Sus scrofa: one gene and its partners. The protein of the gene in region 2 interacts with the protein of the main gene of each other region in a pairwise test. Links are inferred from orthologs where the notes say so. Each region holds a gene or a part of one and is shown on either strand. Other genes may lie near its edges.

Region 1 (2,887 bases), on a different chromosome or scaffold from region 2:
CATTGACACATTATCACCCTAAGTCTATAGTTTACATTAGGGGTTCACTCCTCTTTTTTTTGGCCACATCCGTGGCATGAGGAAGTTCCCAGGCCAGGGATTGAACCTGCCCCACAGCAGCGACCTGAGCCATAGCAGTGATAACACCGGATCCTTAACCCACTGAACCACCAGGGAACTTCCAAGGGTTCACTTTTGGTGTTGAACAACTTGTGGGTTTAAGACAAATGTATAGGAGTTCCCACTGTGGCTCAGCAGAAACAAATCTGACTGGTATCCATGAGGACCTAGGTTTGATCCCTGGCCACGCTTAGCGTGTTCAGGATCCAGTGTGGCTGTGAGGTCGAAGACATGGCTTGGATCCTGAGTTGCTGTGGCTGTGGTATAGGCCGGTAGCTGCAGCTCTGATTTGACCCCTAGCAAAAGCAAAAAAAAAAAGGCAAATGTATAATGTATCCACCACTAGAGTGGATACAGAAAATTTTCATTGCCCTGAAACTTGTTCTCTGTGATCTGCCTGTTCATCCTTCCATCCTTCAGCCCCTGGCAACCACTGATCCTTATACTGTCTCCATAATTTTACCTTTTCTAGACTGTTCTAAAGTTGGAATAATGCAGTCTATAGCCTTTTCACATTGGCTTCTTTCTCTCAGTCATATGCATTTAAGGCTCCTCCATGTCTTTTCATGGCTTGGTAGCTCATTTCTTTTTAGCACCAAATACCATTCGGTTGTCTGAGAGTTCCCACTGTGGTACAGTGGGTTAAGGAACTGGCATCACCTCTGTCGCAGCACAGGTTCGATCCCCAGCCCGGGAACTTCCATAAGTCAGGAGTGCAGCTGAAAAAAGAAAACAAAACAAAACCCAAAAAATTCCATTGTCTGGCTATCCCACAGTTTATTTATTCACTCACCTACTAAAGGACATCTTAGTTGCTTCCAAGTTTTGGCAGTTATGTGACCCATTGACACCTGGCCCCTTCCAAGAGGCTCTATCTGGGAGTTCCCTTCATAGTTCAGTGGTTAACAAACCTGACCAGGATCCATGAAGATGCAGGTTCAATCCCTTGGCTCAGTGGGTTAAGGATCCAGCGTTGCCACGAGCTGTGGTGTAGGTCACAGACATGGCTCAGATCTGGCATTGCTGTGGCTGTGGTGTAGGCCAGCAGCTACAGCTCTGATTTGACCCCCAGCCTGGGAACCTTCATATGCTGCCAGTGCAGCCTTAAAAAGCAAAAAAAAAAAAAAAAAACAACCCAAAACCCAAGAGACTCTATCACTTCACTGCCTCACTGCCACCTTGAGAGACAGAAAGGGAGCTCCTCCCCCACACCCACCCCCTGCTGCAGACCCTCTGCCTCTCCACTTTGCAGGGCCCTGAATGCAGTGGGGAGGTTCCCAGGGAGAGTAAATAAGTATTTGTGCACTGTCTTTGTGCCATGTGCCTGGACTTCTGGAAGCGGGAGCCTGGCCCTGGTTTGGGTCAAGGCAGGTGCTTCAGGGGCCCAGTTTTCTGCTCTCAGGGTGGGTGGAGGCTGGCTGGTGGCTGGCCCTCCCTCCCATCTCTGCCATGCCCCACAGGTCTCATTCCGCTACCATTGCCAGCTGTACTCCGAATGGAGAAGAACCAACCAGAAAGTGCGCCTGAAGATCCGGACCTCTGATGGCTCTGAGGGCACCCAACACTCCCCGCTGGCCGCTGGACTCCTGAAGAAAGTGGCAGAGGAGACACCTGTGTGAAGGCTGGGCTGGCAGGACCAGAGGCAGCTGGCAATGCCCTGGAATTTGGAAGGACAGCCACGGCCCGACCCTTCCTGCACGGCCAGAACGCTTCTTAGGCCAAGAGATGCCAAGCAGAGCCGATTCTGTGATCCCGTGCGAAAAAAATAGCATCAGATCATCTTGCACTGTCTTGTACTCGAGGAGGATGGATGGACGTGGTCCCGAGCTTCGGATGGACCAGGTACCCTGATCTCATTCTGAGGTCCACCTACTGGGCCAGCAGCCGTGGCCAGAGGCGAGCTGAGAGCACCTACTGGGCCGGGATGTTCTGCAAGCTTCTTGCACTTTTCCGCACCTGGCAGGCTCACTTTCCTGGCACCCTCGACTTTATAAAGTTGCACACCACGTTTCAAAAACCCACCCTGGAATGAATAAAAGGAGCCCTTGCTGGACAAAATGGACTTGTCAGTCACATGTTTCCGAGGCCTCAAAATGGGACCCTGGGACCCAGGGGAGGCAGGGACCACACAGGTAACAGAGCAACAGCAAATGCTCTCGGCTGGTTTGAGGGATCTGTTGTGAAACACAGGGCTAGAAGAAAAGTCTGGGTTTTCAAAGGAAGAGCAGGTAGCAGGGCCATGTATTAAATGATTTAAAATAAATAAACATAAGAAGCATAGTTTCCACTTATTGCATCTACCATTGGCAGGACACCATGCTGGGTCCTTTACACTAATAAACTAATACTCACCCTTACCCCTTACCTAGGGTCACCCTGAAGGGGTGCCCAGTTCTGAGCCTTAATGGACATCTTCCCTCTGACCCTCACTACCATTCTCAGTGGGAGGAATGGCTACTACCTCCATCTTACAGATGAGAAGACTGAGGTCCAGAGCAGGGAAGGCTCCATCTAGGGTCCTACAATGCTAGGAAGTGGAGTTGGGGCTGACCCCGGGTCTGCCTGGCCCTGGGGCTGAGCTTTGTGTGTCCCCTTCCAAGAGGACTCAGGAAAAGAAGCAGAATATGGTCATGATAATGACAGCATCCCCTTCCTGAGCACTTTCTGAGCTTTTTACCCTCGAGGGCATATGGAGCAACACCAGATCCCAGCCCCATCTTTGACCAACATGGTAATGCCAGATCTTTAACCACTGAGGGAGGCCAGG
Region 2 (4,053 bases):
CTCTGTTGGAGCCGGGAGGCACTTCTCCAGGGCCCTCAGGAATGCAGGCAGGGCCTTTGTCCGCTCCGACCTGATCCTATCTGATCCAGAGAGCTTGCTCCCCACGCTGGACAGATGGGGCTGGGGAGGGGGTCAGGCAGCCCAGGTCTTGCCACCCTCTCTAAACGAGTCTGGCCCCTCCCTTTCCTCTCCCTGCCCTTTCCTTCCTCCCTTCCTCTCCCCCTCCCCTCTTCCTCCTTGGAGCTCGCTGGGTTTCTTTAACAAGATAGCCTCCTCTTCCCCCAGGGGCTTGGGGGCTCATCGTTGGTGGTTGCGTCAGGCAGGGGTCTCCAGAGAAATGGAGGCAATAGGATACATATATGTGTATGTGTGTGTACATATGCATGTGGGTGTGAGTGTCTGGAAAATTTTATCTTAAGAAATTTGCTCATGCCATTGTGAGGCTAGCAAGGCCAAAATATGCAGGGCAGTTCAGCGCATTGGAATCTTCAGGGTGGATGCTGCAGTCTTGAGCAGAATTAATTCTCTGGGAGACCTCTTTTCTCTTAAGGTCTTCAACTGATTGGACGAGGCCTACCCACACCATCGAGGATTAGGCCCATCTTTTACTTCAAGCCCGCTGATTGTAGGTATGGACAACAGCTACAAAAGACTTTGATAGCAACACATAGACTAGTGCTTGATGGAATAACTGGGCTCTAGGGGCTGTAGGCAGGTCCCTACTCTCTTGCCTTCCCTCCTTTGGCCCTAAGGGTTCCTGTGCAGTCTGACCCAGGGCCTCAAAAGGCCATCTGCCCTGCCTGGGAACTCTGGACTGGAGGGGAGGCAGGGCATGCTCTACAGAAGATGCCTTCTGAGGGGGGTGGATTACTGGCCAGAGACGGCCTTGCAGGAGCCATGACAGACCCGGGATGTAACTTTGCTTTGGCCAAAAACTGGCTCTGGGGTACTGACCCCCCCCCCACCTCTTTCTAGAATTGATGCAGCGTGGAGCCTGCCCGTGCCCCTGTGGGACCAAATTGGGTGGCCCAAGAACCAGGGAGGTTCTCACAGACAAATGTTCCAAGCCTTATCTCTTCCCCTAAGTTACTTACAGAGTAGCAGGGAACAAAGCCTCGAACCCAGCCAGCAAGATACAGCAGGAACAGGAGGTGCTGGGTCCAAGGCCTGAGTGCAGAGGGGGAGTCTGGCTCCACCCCCATGTCCAGATATATCCTTGAGCTCCCACCCGTCAAAGAGCTGATTTTCCCAGAGCGTCCTCCGTGCTCTGCTCTCTGTGCATCCTTGGCCACCGCTTACAAGTGAAGAGCTGGCTGTGATGGCAGGAGGCTCCACTAACACCAAGAAGATAGAAATGTCCTTGGCTGAAGAGCTGGTTCCTAAAAGCCAGGAGCCTAGCCGCGAGCAAGTGCTGATAGCAGGTGAGGAGCCCCTGAAATGGACCTTCCCTTGAGTGCCTGCACCTGTGTGTGTGTGTGTGTGTGTGTGTGTATGTGTGTGTGTGTGAGTGTGTGTGTGGGAAACTGTGCATGAGTGGCTTGGCAGATACTCATATCTGCATGTATGTTGATGCATGGATTGGGGGTACGTGTGTGGGTGGCCTTGGTTCACGTACACATATATTTCTGGCTTGAGTGACAGGGGAGTTGGAGAGAAAGGGATTGATGATATGAGGGAGGTGTCTATTGCAAAACATTCCCAAGGCTCAGTTTACAAGATCAATCAAATGATTTCTCTCTCCTAACTCTCCAATACCTTCTCCTGCCTTTTAGAGTAAAATCCAAAGTCTTTACCATGATCTACAAGATCTGATCAAGGTCACCTCCTCCATGTATTTCCTGCTGTTTCCTGCCTATGTGGCCTGCTGGCCTACTGTACATCCCAAGATTGTTTCTGCCTCACAGCCCTTGTGCTATAGCTGTTCCATATACCTTGCAGGCTTCTCTAGATTTTTCAGGGATGGACTCTTTCAGGTCTGTGTCGTAGTGTTGTTCCTGACTTTTCTAGACGTAGCCCCTTCTTTCTGTCTTGTTTTTATTGATCTGAATCTACATGGACAGAGTATTTTCTGCCACCCTCATTCTCCCTAGAAATACACGGTCAGTCTCCTGATTGCTGTCATCTTATCTCCTGGCCGTTGTCCTCTCTTTAGTCATGTAGCCCAGAGCTTTATGCTCGGTAAATACCTGCTACATCTTGAATGGATGAAGAAACTGAGACATGGGTTTGGCCAGTGGATATCAGTGAATGGGTGTTTGGTGATTCCTGAGAAGTTCTTGTCCCTTTTCCGGTGTGTCCTGTGCCCATGAAGCTTTGGTATAGCTGTATGTGTGTTCCTGGGACCTCCATTTTTCTCCCTAGAAATGTTGGAGCATGGAATCCGGTCCCTGGGTGCTTCTCAGAGCCGTCAGAAGTTGGATTCAAAGATTTCCGATTCTGCTGCAGCTTGGAATTTGGCTGCCAACAAGTCCAAGAAAACGGTACTATATGGGGACCTTGGTACATGGTTGGGTTTGAGAGTAGCAGCTATAGGGGATCTAAGTCTGAAGATGGTGAGGTCAAGCAAGGCCAGATGTTGAATTAGGGGTGAGAGAGGAAGCTCCTGTGCAGTAGGCAGGGAAATGAGGGCCACATGGTCCAACAAGAGGTCAGGACTATTTATTGTTAGGCTAGGAATTCAGTATTGAAAGTACAGAATGCTGAATTACACATTGCTTGGGGAGTACACATATACCGTATTCTGTGCAACTCTAAAGTGTGTGAAATAACACTTTCTTTTATTAATAAATAAATACATCTGTATTTATCACCACATATGTATATCTATATATCTGTATTTTCCCAATATATCTTATATTTTGTTTTTATTCCTGTATATAAATGCATTTCTATGTAGAAGTATATAAAATATAAAAATATATAAGCATATACAAATGAGATATACGTACAAATAAACATATGTACATCTGTATATCTTAGGGATGGGACAAGACTCAGGCAAGTGAGATTGCTATGCTCCATGGCCATTAGGAAATCCAGTCATTTGCATCTGAGCAGTTTGTAGCCAATTCTTTAAGCTACACTCCATATGAGTGAGGGAATGTTCTCGAAAAAATGGTGCTTCTACTGTTGCAAAGGATACTGGGAAAAGGCAGCCATTTTGGAGCAGCTCTAGGGAATGAAGTGAGTCCTTGAGTGCCATCATTTTGTAGCCAGTCCTTTCAGCTACATTCACCTCCGGTGGGGGAAAGCTTTAGAAATATGGTGGCTATATTGTTGCAAAAGTTACTTGGAAAAGGCAACCAGGTTGCAGAAGAGGACAACCGGCCTGTTGATGGGGATCATGTGAGTCTCATGCTCTGTAGCCAATCCTTTAAGCTACTTTCACTGTAGTTGAGTGAAAGTTTTAGAAACCTGATTTTTAGACTCTGGAAATGGTTACTGAGGGAAGGCAACCTGGTTGGAGAGGGAGGGAGGCTTGATGTTCTAGAAAATCACCTGAGTCCCATTGTTCTGCAGTGCATCTTAAGCCTCGTTCACCTTCTGAGGAAACGTTCTAGGAAAAATGGTGGCCATTTTAGGGAGGGGGACGCGTGACTCCTCTAGAAAAATCACTGGAGTCCTTGTTGTTTGGCTGATTCTGCCAGCTGCATTCACCTTGGATGAGGGCAATTTTTAGAAACACGACTGTTAAACTGTTGCAAATGCTATCCGGCAAAGGCGGCCCCATTGGGGAGGAAGGAGATCTGAGTCTTCTAGGGAATGGGGTATAATAAATACGGAACTGATTCCAGCCACAAATGAATAAAGATAAAAAGAAGTCCCAGGTCACAGACCTTTGGGAATGAAAAGAAGCCATAAACGTTGAATTGGCTTCAGGTGTTCAAAGGCTGAAGCCACATCAAGTGGCTCCACTAGCTCAGGCTTCAGTAAGCTACGCATGCCCTGAAACTGAGGTGGGATGGGATTGGGGAGGGGCGGTTGAGGGAATTAGTTCATCTCTGATGAATTAATATTACCTCTTCAAACCAAAGGAGTACACTTTTAACAAAT
Region 3 (3,500 bases), on a different chromosome or scaffold from region 2:
GGAAGGCTACCTCTGAGCCTGCCCGCCACCTGTCAGTCAGCCTATGCTGGGGTCGCTGCACTGCCCATTCAGGGCTGGAGGCCGGTGGGCCCTGTCTTTGGGGTCCCCTTCTGCCTCCTCCACCCCCACTGTTTCACTCACTCATCCAGACCCTCATGGGTCTGACTCAGCTGCTCCTCCAAGTGTGAGATTTCCAGCCTCAGTTCCTGCAAAGGAAGGAGTGGGGGCCCACTGGCTCTCCATTCTTCCCCATTCCCCCACCCCCAGGCTCCTCTTTCAAGGTCAGCAGCAGTGAAAGTATCGAATCCCAGCCACCAGACCACCAGGGAACCCCCTCCCTTGACCTCTTTGGGCTCCTCCAAACACCAAGGGAGAAGGGGAAGAAACAGCGACAGACACTTAGGAAGCCAAAGAGAGGCAAAGAGCAACAGGAACCCTGAAGGTAACCTACCCTCCAGGAAAATTCAGAAAAGAAGGCAGAGCTGGAAACACATGGAAAATGACACAGATGGAAACAGATTCACAAAGAGGCAAGAGACACAGGGGGTATAAGAGACTCTAAAGACCAGAGACAGAGAGGGGAGTCACCCCAGGAGACAGACAGACTAGACCCAGGGAGATGCAGAGACGAGAACCTAAACAAGCCAGGCAGAGATAAAGAAATAGGAGGCTGTGGTGAGAATTCACCCCCAGAGAATGCAAGTGGCTGAGTTACGGAGATACAGAGAGAGAGAGAGAGAGAGAGAGAGAAAGGAAGGGACCGAGGAAAAGTGAAAAGGCCAAGCGACGAGAGGGGAAGACACACAGTCAAACAGCAGAGACAGTAAAAACAAGACGTGGAGACTCTGAAAGAGACTGACGGAGACAGAAAGAGGCAGCAAACCCCAGAGACGGCAAAAGAGAAGTGGGGGGAGTGAGGCCGCCGGTGGGTTACCTGGGTTGTGGTTCTGTACTCCTCCAAGGTCTTGGCCAGACTCTCGGCATGGCGAGTGCGCTGGGAAAGGCCAGAGCTGACTGAGACTGGGCCTAGGCCACCAAAGGCTGGTGCTGGGGGGGAGGGGTCTGGCAGGGCGGGCTTGGGGGAAGAGCTAGGGCCTGAGGGACAGCCCCGGTTTCCCGGGAAGCCCTCTGATCTCTCCGGACTGCTATCCAAGGATTAGAGCCAAGCAGGACTTCTCTTTTCAGACTCCAGGCAGGAGACACACAGAAGGCAAATGTTTCTCCCCCAGACCCCTCACCTCGGAGAGGATGGCATCTCGTTGGCAAATGAGGCGTTCACACTCATAGAGCTGCCGCTGCCAAGGCAAGAGTCAGTCTGTCTGTCTGGCCTGCCCTCCCTGGCCCGCCCTGCTCTCCCAAACCCCTCTCCTCAACCCCCTCCATGTCTCTGGACATCAGCCACACTGAGGGGGATTTCAGCTGGTTTGCCCATGAGACCTGGGAACCTGATGGCTTGATCGAAGTCCCTGCTCTCTCCAGGGGCGGTGGGAAGTTGTCAAGGCACTAGGGAGGGGTGGCACCTTCAAAGCATCCTTTTCGGTGGCCAGCTCCTCACTCCTCCTCTTCACTCCATCACACTCAGCCAGCAGCTTCCCGTTCTAGAAGAAAGCACCCAGGTTACATTTACATCAGCAAATGGCCATGTTAATACTCTATTGACATGGAGTGTCAATATCGACATCTACTGAGCACTTGATGTTCACTGGGCCTCATGCTCATCTCTTTATATGTTGTAGCCTATTTAATCCCTCCATCCAACCATCCTATGGGATCCCAAGTTTGACTTGCAGACGGAGTTGGTCCTCTCCCTGCAAAAAGAGAGATACAATAGGACGCATGGGGTGGCTGGGAGGATTAAATAAGCTAGTAATTATTGCTAACATTTACTGAGCACCTTGCCAGGGTTAGCTTGTTTCTTATCCCGTATTTTATTTTTATTTGTCTTTTTGTCTTTTCTAGGGCCGCACCTGTGGCATATGGAGGTTCCCAGGCTAGGGGATGAATGAGAGCTGCAGCCGCGGGCCTACACTGCAGCCATAGAAACTCGGGATCTGAGCCTCATCTACGACCTGCACCACAGCTCATGGCAATCCTGGATCCTTAAGCCACTGAGCGAGGCCAGGGATCAAAACTGCGTCCTTATGGATGCAAGTCAGATTCATTTCCACCTAAGCCACGATGGGAACTCCCTTATCCCCCATTTTAAAGATAAGGATAATTGACAGAAAGGTTGAGGAATCTGGCCCAGGTGGGAATTCATAAAAATACATGTTTCTGAATGTTAATGAGCACAAAGCATTTGGAATAGTGCCTGACATATACCAAATGTTCATTAAATGTTACATATATATATATATATATACACATATATATATATATATGTATTTTTTCTTTTCTCTTTAGGGCCACACCTGTGGCATATGTAAGTTCCTGGGCTAGGGGTCAAATTGGAGCTGCAGCTGCTGGCCTACATCACAGCCACAGCAATGGCTAGGTCTGACCTGCATCTGTCACCTACACTGCAGCTTGTGGCAACACCAGATCCCCAACCCACTGAGAGAGGCCAGGGATCTGCATCCTCATGGAAACTAGCTGGATTCTTAACCTGTTGAGCCACAAAGGGAGCATGTAATATTAAAAAGATATATCCCAGTATATGTTATATTAAAAAGATATTTCTAGGAGTTCCCTGGTGGCTTAGTGGGTTAAGGATCCGGCATTGCCATGAGCTGTGGTGTAAGATGCAGATGTGACTTGGATCCTGTGTTGCTGTGGCTGTGGTGTAGGCCGGCAGCTGCAGCTCGGATTCAATCCCAGTCTGTGAACCTCCATAAGCCGCAGCTGCGTTCCTAAAAAGCAAATAAATAAATAAATAATCCCTTAATATCATCACCCACTCAGTACTCTTTCCGTTTTGGTTATCTAACAAATATCTTTGCACTTTTAGTTTGTCTGAATGAGGATCCAAACAAGGTCCACCATAGCTTTTGTTTGAAATGTCTCGTTTCTTTTCATCTGACGGTAACCTCCCAATTTCCCAATCCTGGCACTTCTTCATTTGTGGAAGAAACCAGGTTTTTTTTCCCTGCAGAACTGGCACATTTGAGCTTGGTTCACTGCCTTCTTGTTTCCTGTGCAGGATGTTCACCGCGTTCCTCCCACCTCATTATTTCCTATAAACTGATGGGTAGATTCTGGACCTTGTCTAGACTCTTGTTCAATATTTCTCTTGTTCAGTTTTTTGGCAGCAAGGTTTCATGGGTGCTGCTATATGTGTCATGCTGTGCCATTCAGGAAGAATGTCAAGTCTGGCTGTCCCAACTGCTAATGTTTACACTGTCATCATCCCCAATTTTACAGAGGAAATGGTGCAGTGGAGGGGCTGAGGTCAGATAGTAAGTGGACTCAACCCAAATCTGATTCCAAGTCTGGCCCTTTTAACTCCCAGACTCTCCTCTGAGCTAGATGCAGTGCTGGGTGAGAAGGGGGAACTGGCTTCA
Region 4 (4,229 bases), on a different chromosome or scaffold from region 2:
ACACAAGGGCAAGTTTCTTAGCTAAATATGCCCCTCAGAAATTGCCACCCAAAGAAAAGCTGGGGGTAAGCCAAATTCATGACAAGAAATCTGGGCCCTAATAGGTTGACATATTTTACTCTCTTGGGCCCATCAGTACTCCTCAAATCAACCTATTAAGTATCTTTGCATTCAATTTGCATGTAGGGCCAGCCTAGATTAAGATGATAGTAAATATGAAGAGGATGGGGGAGGGGCAGGGATTGCTACAGTGGTTGGTTACACTAGAATTTTAAGTACCTTCTGTGTGCACAGCATATGAATAGTGTTTCATTGTTTATAAAGTGCTTAAACATGTTTCATTTATACAATCTGGTGAGGTAGGATATTGCCATTTTATAAATGAGGATGTGGAGCCTTAGAATTTGAGTGCAAAGTCACATAGCTGGTAAGCAGAAAAATAAGAACATCAAGATTTCTGCCCAAGCTTATCTCATTCAGCTGTACTATCTCTTGTAGTGGTTTTCAACCACAAAAAATATTTGAAAAGTGTCTGAAAATATACATGCTCAGGTCCCATTCTCCAGAAATTTGTAAACTAACTGGTCTTGGGCAGAGCCAGGAATCCATCCATATTTTAAAATGCTTCTCAGGTGATGCTAACATGTGGCCAGGTTGCAAAATACTGATTAGATAATCAAGATCTCTAAATGTCATCTTAAGAATCTTTCTTGGGGTATATACAAGAAGTACAGAAGATGAGGGAAGCCAGAATTACAGTCACTTGTTTCAGTATATGCTGCCAGAATTTCCAAGTTCCTGTTGAGATGTTTTAAATGCCTCACTAGTACTTCTTGGCTTTTTTCTTTCTTTCTCTCTTTCTTTTTTTTTTTTTTTTTTTTTTTTAACTTTTATGGAAATCTCCAAAGAACATATGAAAGTCAGACACAAAAGTTTACTAAAAGTCACCTACATAAAAGTGGTTTTCCCTCAGAGGAAAAAAAAAAAGTTAATTACAAAATACCCTGCACCAGAATAGGGTCTCATTTGATTGGAACTGGCAGTGGCAGAAAGGTGGACTTCTCTGGGTATATTTCAGTATCCTATGAAATTTGTGAGTATGGTAAATTATCAAACCCCTAGACAATTGGGGAAAATGACCAAAAAGTTCATGCATTTGTTCAAAAAACAAATACATATATACTGAGGACCTGCTGAGTACCAGGCTCTGATGTGGGATTCAAAATAAATAATGAGTAAGCTGCCATCTTCCAGGAGGTTGTAAACTGCTTACATGAAGGGAGTAGTCAACACAACCAACCAGACCTGAATGCTCTCATCAAACAAGGGCTGGATTAATCACTGGGCCACCCCAACTAATAAACAAGTCAGTTCCATGATTTCTATCAACTTAGACATCTCAAAATTCTAAGCTCCAAAGGAAACGTCTGTCACTTTGGAAGGAGGCCTACTCTTGGGGGATGTGTGTTCTGGGTGGGGCAGATCCAAACAGCATTTAATTGGGTATATCTCATTTAAGCGAGGCCTTTCATTTAACACCTTCCAGTTGGACCTTCCCTCAGTACAAAGAGCTGTACCTCATGCTGAACAAGGGGACAAGTGGTCTACTGAAAGGTGTAGGCAACCAAACATGCATTATTAGCCTGCAGCATTGGCTATGCTGGGAAGTTATGTCCTGGTTTAGGGGGAAATGTGGATTACCGATCCCCAAAAACTCTTGATAGAACCCACGGACTAGAATATGAACAGCAGAGGGCGGTGCAGCCGATTTCACAGAATTTTACCCCCTGGAGCCCCCAGGAGCTGGCCCCAAAATAAGATGAAACTTGCTCTGTGAACTCAACGAATAGTAAAATATGCTAAGTGTTCAGGGTTGGACTCATGGCTGTTTTCCATAACCTCTACTTTGGTCTGACCGTTAAAGTCCCTTGCGGATACTCTTGACCTTACAGCCTGGGGTGGGGATGGGATGGGGGAGTTAGGAGAAATGTAATCAGCCTATCAGGCTTTCCAAAACAATGCTTATCTTGGAATAAGTATTAAAATTGGAGGGGGATCACTCCCCAGGAAAAGAGTCTGGTTCTCCTTGCCAGTGACATCACTGACAAACACGTTACAACAAAGTTTGGGGGGAGGGGAGAAGAGTAAGAAAAAGAAACTAATTCTGTGGGTTAATACGAACCCCTCTCACTTCTCAACGGCGTTCGAACAATACTACACGGCACTCTTTAAGTTTCGCTTTAGGTCTACGCATCCAGGCCACCCGCTCTGTCCTCTCCCACGTATGGGCTCCAAACTTTCTGCCCCTCACCCGGCCCCCAGGCCGTGGAACTCCTCCCAGCACGCCGGGCTCCGCTTCCGAAGAGCCCCGAGGCTGGGCGCGGCAGGGCCGGAGCGAGAGTCCGCGGCTCGCGTCCTCCCCCAAGGTTGTCCGTACCTGTCCAGCATCTGCTGTAGGGCTTGGTCCGGCATCTTCCGCTGAGCCGGCGCACTCGCCTCCCCAGTGGGCCCGGTCAGGGCCGGGCCCAGGGACAATAGCACTGAGAGGCGGCGGAGTAGGCCTCAGTCCAGCGGCCGCCACGAACCCGCCAGCCAGCCTCCCGGGGCGGCTCCGCGAGCCCAGCGGTGGCGGTGCGCGGCCCGCGGGCGCCCGGAGGAGGCGGTGGGGAGCGAGGAGGAGGAGCCTGGGGCGGGGAGGCGGCGATCGCGGCCCGGGTTCCTGCCCGTCGGCCCGGGGTTCCGGTCCATGGACCGCGGGCGCCGAGTTGCTGCCGGCGGAGGAGCTACCTCTGTGAGGTAAGAGTCACCGCCTCCGTGCGCGCCGGGGTCACGACGCAAGGCGGCCCAGAGCAGCCTGGGAGATGTAGTCCTCGGACCGTCCCCGCTAGAGGCTGCACAGCCTGCCCAGACCACCGCCGCTGCGCCCGCCGCCGCCCGGCCGGCGCCCTCCCGTTTCCTTCCTCCAGGGGGAAAAATGTCCTGCGGGCCGCTTTCCAGGAAGCAGCAGGATGTGCCGCTCCACTGTCAGTAGCATCAAGGTCAGCCCTCCCTGCCTGTTTCTTTTCTCTCCGCTTTTGCGCTCAGGTGGGACCGAGCCAGGTGAGGGGTGGGGGCTAAAGAGCCATTTCTCAGCAGGGTCCCCAGTCCTGGCCGCGGCGTCCGGGCGGGCCGTGGCGGGGGTGGGGGTGGCAGAAGCGCCTTCTGAAGCTCTCGGCGCAGGGGCCAGCCTCTGCCGCATCTGAACCCATTTTGGGGAATTACACAACCCCCGCAAAGGGTCGGATGCTCTAGTGTTATTCCTGAGGGGTCAGGAGGACAGGGGCTGCCGTGACCAGATGGTTCCCACCCGAGTGTGTATGTTTGCCCCGGGGGATGGGGTGGGGGAGAGGGGAGAGGGGAGGTGGGATTGGGGGAAAGATTATTTTCTCCCTCTCTAGGAACCTTCTAAATGTGCCCGGGCTTTCAAGGGCTCTCCGATAGTCTCCAAATGGAACATGTTCGTGAATAAACAGCTCTTGCTTACTCAGCTGTGGGTTGTCAGGGGTGTTTGTTTCTCTCTCTGCTTCTGGTCACTGTTAACCATTTATAGGCGCCTTGACACCTCCAGGCAGGTGGATGGATGGATATGGAGGTGGGGGGGAATCAAAAGGGAAAAATCATAAATCGCTCCTTGGGTTGTTCTCTGATGTTCTAGGGACAGCTTTGGCGGGAGGAAAGGAGCTGTTGGTTAAAATGAATGCGTCTTTTGGACGACCTGTGGCGTTCTTTAGTGCAGTGATTGGTACGACGTCTGGTAGTTTTCCCTTGATTATGTCTAATTTCTGCCGCAAGAGGCTTGATTTTTTTTTTCTTCAAATCAAAATGTTTTTTAAGCTCTTTTTTTTTTAACGTAGAATTTTACAATCAGCTCTTAATTCTGTTTAAAGTTTGCGTCCTGAATATATTTGAACTAGAGTGTACATTGCCAGGAAGAAAAACAAAAATAACATGTGACTAGAAGTTTATTTGGCCTCCAATTTCTGAAAGATACTTTTATGAAAGGCTTTAGAAATTTACATGACTAATTATAATTAATGCTTCCGCCTTTTTTCTCATGAAATGAGAAGCAGGCCCTTGATAGGGGAGAGAAATAAGTAATTTAGGGTGTTTGATATTGTGAATGCCTATTTATTGCTACTCCTACTGTGTTAAGTCCCTTGCTGTGTGTTTATCTCTTAAGCAATTGTCAG
Region 5 (3,987 bases), on a different chromosome or scaffold from region 2:
CTCAGCTCCAGCTACCTTGGAAAGACACAAGGCAGGTAGGAGCCCCAGGGAACCAGCTGCGACTGCACCTGAGGTTGGGGCCTTTCAAAAAAGGGAAAGAGCCCGAGAGCCTGAGAGGGAGACCAAGGGACTAGGGATGCGTGCAGGAGGGGAGACACACTTCCCAGGTGCCCGTGAACTGTAAGTTACCTTGACGAAGCTCAGAGGGGAAAGCACATCCATGAAGAAACTGCTCCACGGGTCTTCAAAGGCAGTGTCAGAAAGGAGGCTCATGATCCCACAGTTCATTTCCTGCAAACTGCCCATCCCAGGTCAGAGGCCTTCCCCCGGCCAGGAGGGCCCTGCCTCTGCCTCGGACTTTTAGTCCTGCCCTCAGCTGGCCTCGGGTTCTCGTGACGGTGGTCTCCCCTCCCCTGGCTGATGATGGGCAGCCCCTTGCCCTTTATGACCCAGGAGAACAGACGCTGCATGGCCCTGACGCAGCCTGAAAGCTCCAGGCCTTCAGGCCCCAGAGCAAGGGTGTCCAGGCGACAGCGGTTCCCCACGGGGACAACTTGGGACCGGTCGGGCTTACCTGAGCTCAGACACAGGGGTGGCGGACGGGCCCTGCAGACACCTACCCAATGACATACACGTCCAGATTCAGGTTCGGGGTGTGCAGCTGGAGCAGATCACTGAGGTCTGGAGGGGGTGCTGCAGAGGCCACGTTCCACGTCACGACATGTATGCTGAGAAGGGAAGCCACGGAGGAAGGAGGATGAGATGTCGTCCAGGTACCAGACCGGGGGCTGGGTGGGCGAAGGGCTGCACCACAATCCCACAGTCGGCGGAGTCAGAATGGGAAACGCATGTTTCTGCATCTGGAGGAGGGCACAGGGCCCCTTCACCTCTATCCCCTGAAGCAGGAAATTCCCACCCTGGATTGGCTCCTCTGTGTAGGCCCATGGCTGCCTGTGCCTGGCAACGCCAGTGCAGAGCTGCCAGCACACTAGGAGAGCTACCAGCGTGGCCCAAAAGTCAGGCGAGGGAAGGGGTGGCGATGGGGTGGAGAGTCCAGAGATTTATTAATTCCACCAGCCCTTCACACCTCAGCAGTCATCTATGGGTCAGTCAACTTCCAGCTCCCCACCCTTCAATCCATGGGTTCCGTCCACCACCAGAGAGATTCTGGAGGTTTCAATTTTCACCTTGTGAGATGGCTTAGGACTACAAGACAGAGGAATTTCAAAAATAACAGAGATAAAGACACCACATTTCCTTCCCACTCCTTCCTGGAGCATAACCAATTCTGCCAAGCATCTCAGAGAGCCTAAGAAGATTCCAAATAACAAGTTTCTCAACATCTCAAGAGTCTAGCCTCTTTTGGGAAACGTCATCAGCTGGATAACATTTTCCATGTTCATACAAACACTTGGGAAGCAACACATCGAATCAGAAGCTCTCAATAACACTGGATCCCATCTGAGGCTCCGGGGAAGGACAGACTCGCAAATCTCTTCATTTGAAGAGTTAAAGCAGCGCTCCCAGGAAGCCTCCAGACTGTGTGGAGTACAGGGCAGGCAGGGGCTACGAACCCTGCAGAGACCAATTAGAGCCACCAAGCCTCAGGTGACTCCTAGGCACATCACAAGGAGGCGAATCTCTAACAGCAGTCGACCCATCGTGGGGGGTGGGAGAGAAGGACAGAATGTCCCTAACATCTCTTCCCCACCAGACGCTGTTCTTCGAGGTCCATGTTCTAAAAAGCACAACTGCAAGAAATTCTTGGCCAGCGTACAGCAACTTCCTGCCCCTCCCTACGAACATCAACAAAACAATACAAAAACCACCTTCCCAGGCCCTCGGCCAGAGATTCTGTGCTTCGATTGTTTACGATCTCCCCCTGCTGTCCAACGGAGGAGGAAGGAAGGCAGCCCTTTCACTGCAAGGCTCCTTGTTCTTCCAGGGGCCTGCTCTAAGTGCATGGAGAGCCAAAGCCGGGATTTTTGGTTCCCACTTTTACGAAGGACGATTAGCAGCAAATCCTTGCATCGTGACCGGCTCTGAGCTGGTGATTAGCGTTGTTCCTCGTTAAAGAGCAAGCATGGGACCAGGCTATTATCACTTCACTAAAGGATGTTATCCAAATCTGATTTCGGATTTCAGGAGGTCACAACGGGATCAGGCAGACCCCATGATGTATGTGCTGATCCAAAGAATAAGATTTCTACTCCAAAGCTAAGGAGTGAATGCTTTGTTATGTTTTTAACTTCAAACAGCTCAACACTGCTGCCTCCTCAAGAAGCCAACTGGAACACCTACTTGGAGCCCCCAAGAGGGAACGAGCTTAGCAGCCTAAGTTTGGAGGGGGCGCGAGGTTCAAGCCCAACATAGCCCTCTCGTACCGACCTGGGAGAATGTGGGAGGCCTCTGAATTAGAAGCAGCCCTGTAGGTCTGGCCCCTTCTCTCCCAGTCTGGTTCTGCCCCAGATCCGCAGCCCCAACTGAGTCGGAGGCAGTGATTCCGCCCGGAGCAGGCGGGCCTGCCTGTAGCCGCCTTCCTCACCTGAGCGTCCTGCTTCTCGGTTCGGTCTGGGGGTTCGTGGCAGCCATCGTTCCCACGCGGTGCCCCGGCTGGTTCGCGTCTCCCAGCCTCAGCGGATCCTGGCTTGATCTGTCCCGATCGGGTAGCAGGTGCCGGTCAGCTCACTCGCTCGATTGTTTTTCTTCCGGATTCCGACCCTCCGCCTCGGCTTCCGTAAGAGGCGGGGCCTAGGCGCACGGAAGGCTCTGGGTGGCGCGGCCCGGGGGAAGAGGCGGGACTCTCCAACGAGCGCGAAACGGTGAAAGGCGGAGGGGAAAGGGGCCAAGGGGACGCGGGAACGCAAGGGGCGTGTCCTCCTGTCATCAGAACCCGACGCAACACTGCCCCGCCCGGCGGGGGCGGGGCGGCGATCCAGACACCGCCCCCGCGGCTCCCAGGGTGCCTCGCGTAAGGCCGGCCGGGAGGAGTCGTCTTCCGGCGGAAGTCGCTGCCACGCCCAAGCGAAGCTCTCCTGCGTGCCCAGGCTCACTGTTACTGAACGTGGTCTGGGGCCTCGGTCCTCATCGCTCCGTCCAGGTTCTCAATGCCCAGAGGGGCGAAGGGGCGCAACCCAGCCGTTGTCGGCCTATATAATCCAGTCCCCCACCCCCCCGCCCCCGTTACAGGTCATCTCTCCTCTTGATCACTGAGCGCCTCCATTCTCCACTCCCATGTTCAAGTGTTTCCAGCTTTTCAGACTCATGCAAACTATTACACATTGGACGTTTAGGGGCTCCTGAACTCCGAAAGTTACCCATCACTGAATGAAAACTAAGTCGCTGCCTCTGTTTTACGACCAAACGTGAATATTTACTGTGCCAAAGATTAACTATGATTTCCTTCAAATCACTGGTTCTTAACATTTGGGAGACGGAGGGGTGGGACAGTGCATGGGATTCCTTTGAAGACCTGGTGAGAGCCTGGTGTGACTGGTGTGACCTGGTGTGACTTTCCCCAGAAACATGCACACTTTTACAGACAAGCTTCATGAGATTCCCAGGCCCAAAAGCCAGGGTAAGGGCTCTCTTAAATAAATGTTTTGCTTGGTAGGATGGGAAAGGGGCGGAATGTGAAGAGGGAAGACAAAAGCGAAAAGGAAATATTGCCAGCAGAAAATGGTCAAGTTACATTCAGATATGGGATATCTGCATAAATAAAATAAGGGGATGTTTTAATTTACGGAAATAGACCTGCACAACTTTTCGGAGATATCCTGTACCTTTTCTAGTCCTTCCTTGGTAAAATGGGGGATGTCAGCCAGAGTTGGAGAATATCTAAATTGTAAAATGGACAGAAGGACATCACCAATAAGCTGGACTCCAGAAAGCTCTGTCTAGGATTTTATTAGACTGCTTTTTTCCCCCAATATATCTGTATTGGAAGATTGAGACAAAAAGGCACAAACTCACATGAAATAAACAAGG
Region 6 (3,500 bases), on a different chromosome or scaffold from region 2:
AACTAGAAATTAGTGTTTTTAAAGGAAATGGAAACTAGAGTAGGTATAAAGAATACAAAATCTGAATATGCACTGGTAACATCCAAATCAATTTAAATCAATAGTGTAACAAGCAGAATTAATAGGCACAGTCACCTGAAACTGCAAAAATAGCACAGTACCTGCAGGAGACTTTCTATGGCATGAAAGCCTCGAATTAAATTCAGAGCTGCACATAAAAGACTAAGGATAAATGCCACAATCCCTGACAGAGTTGCTGGTTCTAGTCGCTGGTGAGCTGGGGGGAAAAAAAAAAAAGATTAGAAATGAACATCAACGTCTCACATCAATACTTACGCTTAAGTAAAACGAAATTTACTGCTCAATTTAAACAAGTTACATATAGATGAATCTTCATAAAATTATTTCATAATGCAACTTAGAAATAAAAATTTTTTTAAATGCAAAACGTCTGACATGACAGCTTTATTCCTCTGAACTCAATTTAAATTAACTTCTTTTTCTCTACATTTTCAACAGACACCTAACTTGCATTTGGGTATACAGTGCTAAGGAGTGCGCACACCTGGCAGTAAAAATCATATAAGAAAAAAACATACCGCCTATATATGTCTACCACTTGCAAGCAGATGCAAATATTTGCAAAGATGGCTTTGCTTAGAAATTCACTGCATAATTCCCACTTTTCTGAAAATGCTTAGAAAACATTTTAAAGGACAAACATAGCTTGCTTTTTTTTTTGTCTTTTTGCCTTTTCTAGGGTCACTTCTGCAGCACATGAAGGTTCCCAGGCTAGGGGTCGAATCAGAGCTGTAGCCACCTGCCTACACCAGAGCCACAGCAACACAGGATCTGAGCCGCGTCTGCAACCTACACCACAGCTCACGGCAACGCCGGATCCTTAATCCATTGAGCAAGGCCAGGGATCGAACCCGAAACCTCATGGCTCCTAGTCGGATTCGTTAACCACTGAGCCACGACGGGAACTCCCAAACATAGCTTGCTTTTAAGCAAAGCCCTTCTTTATTTGGGTTCCAGGGTCATAAATACCATGGGATATATGTGAAAGCACACACACACGCAATCGGGGTCATAAATACCATGGGATATGTGTGAAAGCATACACACACACACACACACCCAATCTGAACTCTACAATAGAATGGACTCTTAGAAGGTTCCTGGTCTCCCAACACCACTTGAAGATAAAAATGCTAAAACAACAGTTTAAGTAGTGACTAGTTTATTTTACAAACACATTCCCCTATCTACCAGGGCTCTGCAGCAAGACATTTAGCTATATAAGAGCTTCTCTTCATCATTATCTTGCAGTTAACAGAATCAACCATAGAGTCTAAATGAAAACACAAAACTAAATACGTAACCATCGAGACCTCAAAAGGGAGAGAGAGGGAAAGAGAAGACAAAAGAACTACATTTAGATCATTTTATTTAAATCACTGAAGCGTAAAAGCTCTAACAATGAAGTTAATGAGGTGGAGCATTAATATAAGGAAGGATTTAAATCTCTGCAACTTATATTCAAAGCAGAAAAGCTTTCCGAAACAATTCATAAACAGAAAATTCCACATTTCACAAAAAAGTATTTATTCTTTAAGTTCAGCAGAAAATGCTAATAGAAAATCATAAAAAAAATATACATATGTATATACATGTACGGCTGGGTCACTTTGCTGTATAGTAGAAATAGAATACTGTAAATCAACTATAATGAAAAAAAATCATAAAATAAAAATGAAGAAAGAAAGAAAATGCTAATAGAGGATAACATTCTCTTAAATTTTTTTTGTGCCCAAGCTTACTGCTTGGTCTCCCAATCAATTTCCTTTAGATTTTAAAGTGAAAACAAAAAAATTAAATGTCTTGTAAAGTAATGATACCAAACTTTCTATCACTAGAGAAAACAAATCTCACAATTTAAAAATCTAGTTCTCTTATGGTGCAGTGGGTTAAGAAGCCAGCATTGCCACTACAGTGGCTTGGTTCACTGCTGTGGCATAAGTTCAGTCCCTGGCCTTGGAACTTCCACATGCCAAGGGCATTGCAAAACAAAACAAAACAACAACAACAACAAAACACACCTAACTGATCTACCAATTAGTCATGTTTTAAATCCCTCCTGCCATCCTCCCCTACCCCTCCTCATAAGGGGGAACTGGCCTCTAAGTAAAAAAGAAATCTTTAGCATGGGCCTCAAGTATAAAACCATCTGATAACCGAATAGATTATAGAAAAAGCACTTCTAAAGTATACGAGGTTACCTTACAAAAAGGCCAAATAATATTCTGTATTAAAATTAAAAACCTTCACTTTTTACTAAAATTAAAAACCTTCACTTTTTATGGTCAAGTAAAGGATGCCCATTCTCTCTCCCTCTCTTTTTGCTCTTTTAAGGGCCGCACCTGCAGCATATGGAGGTTCGCAGGCTAGGGGTTGAATCAGAGCTGTAGCCACTGGCCTACACCAGAGCCACAGCAACATGGGATCTGAGACACATCTGCGACCTAGACCACAGCTCATGACAACACCGGATCCTTAACTCACTAAGCGAGGCCAGGGATGGAACCCAAATCCTCATGGATGCTACTCAGGTTCACTAACTGCTGAGCCACAAGTAGAACTCGAAGGATGGCCATTGTTGAATGGAAAAATATTACCATTTTTATGTGTTGATGAATACCTATTTAAGAAATAAATAATATGTCTATACAAATTAAATATTTACTAAGTTTCTAACACTTGCCTCTTGCCCTTAGAGCACTCTCTCCATAATGACAGTATACAATGTATAAATTATTTCAAAATGACCAGAAGTATTTTAAAGCCATGAAAGCAAATGACAAGTCTTCTTTAACAAGGGCAAGGCATGCATTAGGACAGGCTGGAGATGTGCCAAATCACTTCAAGAAATAAAATCCTCAAGTGGAGATTCCCTGCTCCCATCCGAGCCCTTTCTTGGACCAGAGGGTATGGTTACCAAGAAAAATCTGCACACAGTGAGGGTGACACTTCCTAAGGACACTTTCTCATTTTAACAAACTGAATGAGATATTTAATCACACTTTAATGTATTACATTATATATATTTTTTTTTCACTAAAACAGATCTTAGATTGTTATCCACAAATACTTCACACTTCAATGTGGCACCATGGTAGGTACTGTTAGGTAGAGCAAATTTGGAACAATAAGACATGAAGAAATGAGAGGCAATGTAGAAAAAATAAAATGTATAGAATCCAAAATAGTGTCACCATGGAGTTCCCATTGTGGCGCAGCGGAAATGAATCTGACTAGGAACCATGAGGTTGCGGGTTCTATCCTTGGCCTTGCTCAGTGGGTTAAGGATCCACCGCTGCCGTGAGCCGTGGTATAGACACAGCTTGGATCCCATGTTGCTGTGGCTGTGGTATAGGCCAGCAGCTACAGCTCCTATTAGACCCCTAGCCTAGGAACCTCCATATGCCACAGGTGCAGCC
Region 7 (3,156 bases), on a different chromosome or scaffold from region 2:
TCCAGAGGGATGGGGCAGGAGAGCTTCTGGGGTGAGTGGTGCTGCTTGCGGAGGTGGGGGTGAAGGGGTGGGGATATAAACCCAGGGCCTGGAGCTGGGAAATCACCAGGAGGAATGGCCTGGGGAGCCCCCAGCAAGGCTGGTTCCCGCGCTTTGATGAGCTTTGCAAATGAAGATCTGAACTGATGGTGAGTAATGATGCCAAGATCTCAGCCACCAAGGAGGGCTGCAGGTAGGAGGTCCCACATAGGATTTTCAGTGAGGGGCCAGAGGGTCTGACTGGGAGAAGATATTTCTCAGAAGGCAGAGGCGATTGTAGGGGTTGGAAGGGAGAGCCTGAGACAAGCAAGAGTGCTTCTGCGGGTCTGGCTGTGCTACCGCTGATGGTGCAGAGAAGGCAGGTCCACTCTCTTCTCCCGGATTTGGGGGACCCGCGGGTGCCCCCGCTGCCGTGGGCTCCATCGCACAAGCCTCTTATTGGGTTGCGGACAATTAGACCAGGCGCCACTGGGCAGAAGGAGAGAAGAGCTGGTCTCAGCCGCCTGGCTTGGGGAGGCTGGAAAAGCTGAGGTTCTGGGAGAGCTGGCAGTGCCGGCGGAGCAGCCTGGGGAGGCAGGTCCGGGAGGCAGGTCGGGGTGGGGGGTAGGGGCCGGCCCGTGTGGCTGCGCCTCCGGCTCCTCGGGGCTCCGCTGCTGCCCACAGCTACGCGACCGCCGCGGAAGTCAGGGCTCGGGGCCCCCAGCGGCCCTGGCTCCGGAACGGGGAGCTGTCGTCGCCAGAGAGCGAGGACGCCGAGCTGCTCCCGCGCGCCATGGAGTCGCCGCGCCCGCAGGCCCCGCGCCGCCGCAGCTGCGCGCGGAACGAGCGGTCCAGAAGCAGGTAGATGAGCGGGTTGGCGCAGCTGTTGACGAAGGCCAGGCAGGTGGCGACGGTGAGGCCCCAGCGCAGCGCCAGCAGCAGGGGGCAGGGCAGCGGCAGCGCGCCCAGGCGCGCCAGGTGGAAGACGGCGCGCAGGGCGCAGAAGGGCAGCCAGGAGCCCACGAAGGCGCCCTCGACGGCGAAGATGATGCGCAGAGAGCGGCTCCGGGCGCGGCCCATGTGCGGCGGCCCGCGCAGGCGGTGCAACACTCGGCAGTAGCAGACGACGGTGACGGCCAAGGGCAGCGCCAGGGTCAGCAGCAGCAGCAGCAGGCTCAGGCCCTGGAAAGCATCGGACGGCTCCTCGCCGCACTGGCTGCCTCCGCCCCCGGGCAGCGGCCGCAGCCCGCGGAAGGCCAGCGAGGGCAGGCCGGCCGCCAGTGCCGCGGCCCACACGCCGCCGCACGCGGCCAGTGCGCAGCGCCGGGTGCGCCAGGCGCGCGCGGCCAACGGGCGGCCCACGGCCAGGTAGCGGTCCACGCTGAGGCCGGCCAGCAGCAGGGCGCCCGCGCAGCGCGTGCCGGCCAGCGCGAAGCTGCTGAGCTTGCACAGGCCCTCGCCGAAGGGCCAGCGGCCTCCCCGCGCCGCCGCCGCGGCCCACAGCGGCAGCGTCAACACGAAGCACAGGTCAGCGGCCGCCAGGTGCAGCACGAAGGTGTCCACGAGCCGCCGCGGGCCGCGCCGCTCCACCAGCAGCCGCACCACGAAGGCGTTGCCCAGCAGGCCCACGCAGAAGGCCGCCAGGTAGAGCGCGGGGATGTAGGCGTAGCTGTAGGGCAGGTCCGGGGCCGCGCACACCTCCAGCTCCTCGGGGGCGCCCGACCCGGAGTAGTCCCAGAACGCCGGCGCCGGGCTGGAGCTCCAGGGCTCCGTGGGGCGCATGGCCAGCGAGGCCTGGGCAGACGCGGTGCCGAGCGAGCGGGCAAACGCGGTGCCAAGCGCGGGATGGCTCTTCACGGCCGGTGCCCAGCACCTCCCTTCCTGCCACCTCGACCGGAGCGACTGGGTGGGCAGGAAGGGGTGGGGGAGGAGGAGGTGGGGAGAGGGGGAGGAGGGGGAGAAGGGGGGGAGAAGGGGGGAAGGGGAGAAGGGGGGAAGGGCAGGCCCCTGTGGCGGAGACGTGGCTGAAGATTTGGGGCTGGCCTCCCGGGCAGGGCGGGCTTCCCAGCTCGGGGTAGGGTGGGTGGGGGGCCTTGGGGAAAAAGTCCTCAGGTCTGGGAGGTTGGCCTGTCCCTCCCTCCATCAGTCGCTGATGCCTCAGGGGTCTGACGCTGGTGCAGGAGGCTGGGAACGCCCCAATCCATCCCCATTCCCACTATCTCTCACCCCTGTTCATGCTGCTCCCCATCTCTGTGAGGAGACAGGACCCGGAGCTGTGCCAGCTGGGCACAGTAGATCGGGTGGGGGGAGCCTAAACCCCCCGGGGCCTACCTCCAGTCAGGCTCTAAGGGGTGTTGGCCTGCAGAGATGCCGGATTAAATGTCTCAGTCCAGAGCTCGGCTTTTCTGACCAGGGCAGGTTCTCGTGGAGCCAAAGGGAAAGGGTTTTAAGCTGAAGAGAGAGCGACAGCCTGTCTGGAAGAAAGCTGGAATTCAAATCCCAGCGGTTCCCTGACTCCCTCCATCCGCCAAAACCTTCCTGTGGAGCCACAGGCAGATGTGAGCTCAGTATGAAAGAGGACAGAAGATGCCTGACTCAGCACCTGAGGTCCCTCTCCGACATCTGGAGTCGGAAGTCAGGCCTCTCAAAGAAGAGTGAGCTGCCCTATGGGCTGAGAGGCAGGGGAGGGTTCAGGAGGGGGGTGGGGGTGCAGACTGGCCTTGAAGGAGCCGGTGGGCCCAAGGAGAGTTTGGAGGCGGGGTGCCCACTCTTCTTAAGTGGTCGTCCTCCCATGACTGCTGTTCCGGAACTGATGTGACAGTGTGTGTCATCACCAGGAATGAATGACCCCTTGGGCAACCTGGCGTTACAACTTTGAAGCGGATTAATTATCTGTTTTGTTTGATTCAGTCCTTAATAGCCTCACCATGTGGCAGGCACTGTTTGGGGTATCTCGAGAGCGACAGATGCCCGTTTTTTGACCTTGTGGGGGCAGTGTCACTGATTCAGCAGAGGAGCTAGATCCAGGTGCAGGATGCCTGTTCAAGGTCAGCCGTGCTGTCGTGTTAATGGTCCTTAGGGAGCTGGGAGGAGGGAGTAGCTGCTTCTGGATGGGAAGAGGGAGTCAGAACCTCTCCC

The links.
Region 1: the proteins of FATE1 (region 2) and MARCH2 interact in binary tests that used the Homo sapiens proteins (3 or more experiments, as listed by UniProt). The two-hybrid records come from large-scale screens. The link is inferred for Sus scrofa from reciprocal best matches to the Homo sapiens genes FATE1 and MARCHF2.
Region 3: the proteins of FATE1 (region 2) and CCDC155 interact in binary tests that used the Homo sapiens proteins (3 or more experiments, as listed by UniProt). The two-hybrid records come from large-scale screens. The link is inferred for Sus scrofa from reciprocal best matches to the Homo sapiens genes FATE1 and KASH5.
Region 4: the proteins of FATE1 (region 2) and MARCH5 interact in binary tests that used the Homo sapiens proteins (3 or more experiments, as listed by UniProt). The two-hybrid records come from large-scale screens. The link is inferred for Sus scrofa from reciprocal best matches to the Homo sapiens genes FATE1 and MARCHF5.
Region 5: the proteins of FATE1 (region 2) and INPP5K interact in binary tests that used the Homo sapiens proteins (3 or more experiments, as listed by UniProt). The link is inferred for Sus scrofa from reciprocal best matches to the Homo sapiens genes FATE1 and INPP5K.
Region 6: the proteins of FATE1 (region 2) and SEC22A interact in binary tests that used the Homo sapiens proteins (3 or more experiments, as listed by UniProt). The two-hybrid records come from large-scale screens. The link is inferred for Sus scrofa from reciprocal best matches to the Homo sapiens genes FATE1 and SEC22A.
Region 7: the proteins of FATE1 (region 2) and GPR25 interact in binary tests that used the Homo sapiens proteins (3 or more experiments, as listed by UniProt). The two-hybrid records come from large-scale screens. The link is inferred for Sus scrofa from reciprocal best matches to the Homo sapiens genes FATE1 and GPR25.

Annotation. Positions count from the first base shown.
Region 1 is NC_010444.4:70,861,678-70,864,564, reverse strand, and holds the end of MARCH2 (E3 ubiquitin-protein ligase MARCH2), read left to right. Parts: intron 1-1,580; coding exon of another isoform or gene 1,581-1,604; coding exon 1,605-1,739; 3' UTR 1,740-2,387; downstream 2,388-2,887. UniProt on the Homo sapiens protein: E3 ubiquitin-protein ligase that may mediate ubiquitination of TFRC and CD86, and promote their subsequent endocytosis and sorting to lysosomes via multivesicular bodies.
Region 2 is NC_010461.5:123,104,833-123,108,885, forward strand, and holds the start of FATE1 (fetal and adult testis-expressed transcript protein homolog), read left to right. Parts: upstream 1-1,253; 5' UTR 1,254-1,318; coding exon 1,319-1,421; intron 1,422-2,361; coding exon 2,362-2,480; intron 2,481-4,053. UniProt on the Homo sapiens protein: Involved in the regulation of endoplasmic reticulum (ER)-mitochondria coupling. Negatively regulates the ER-mitochondria distance and Ca(2+) transfer from ER to mitochondria possibly implicating it in the regulation of apoptosis.
Region 3 is NC_010448.4:54,490,489-54,493,988, reverse strand, and holds part of CCDC155 (protein KASH5), read right to left. Parts: intron 1,599-3,500; coding exon 1,521-1,598; intron 1,296-1,520; coding exon 1,239-1,295; intron 995-1,238; coding exon 935-994; intron 207-934; coding exon 142-206; intron 1-141. UniProt on the Homo sapiens protein: As a component of the LINC (LInker of Nucleoskeleton and Cytoskeleton) complex, involved in the connection between the nuclear lamina and the cytoskeleton.
Region 4 is NC_010456.5:103,869,879-103,874,107, reverse strand, and holds the start of MARCH5 (E3 ubiquitin-protein ligase MARCH5), read right to left. Parts: upstream 2,801-4,229; 5' UTR 2,473-2,800; coding exon 2,438-2,472; intron 1-2,437. UniProt on the Homo sapiens protein: Mitochondrial E3 ubiquitin-protein ligase that plays a crucial role in the control of mitochondrial morphology by acting as a positive regulator of mitochondrial fission and as an important regulator of immune response.
Region 5 is NC_010454.4:47,735,741-47,739,727, forward strand, and holds the start of INPP5K (inositol polyphosphate 5-phosphatase K), read right to left. Parts: upstream 2,801-3,987; 5' UTR 2,593-2,800; coding exon 2,546-2,592; intron 729-2,545; coding exon 621-728; intron 299-620; coding exon 190-298; intron 1-189. UniProt on the Homo sapiens protein: Inositol 5-phosphatase which acts on inositol 1,4,5-trisphosphate, inositol 1,3,4,5-tetrakisphosphate, phosphatidylinositol 4,5-bisphosphate and phosphatidylinositol 3,4,5-trisphosphate.
Region 6 is NC_010455.5:137,195,199-137,198,698, forward strand, and holds part of SEC22A (vesicle-trafficking protein SEC22a), read right to left. Parts: intron 278-3,500; coding exon 162-277; intron 1-161. UniProt on the Homo sapiens protein: May be involved in vesicle transport between the ER and the Golgi complex.
Region 7 is NC_010452.4:23,367,965-23,371,120, reverse strand, and holds GPR25 (probable G-protein coupled receptor 25), read right to left. Parts: upstream 1,920-3,156; 5' UTR 1,801-1,919; coding exon 703-1,800; 3' UTR 501-702; downstream 1-500. UniProt on the Homo sapiens protein: Orphan receptor.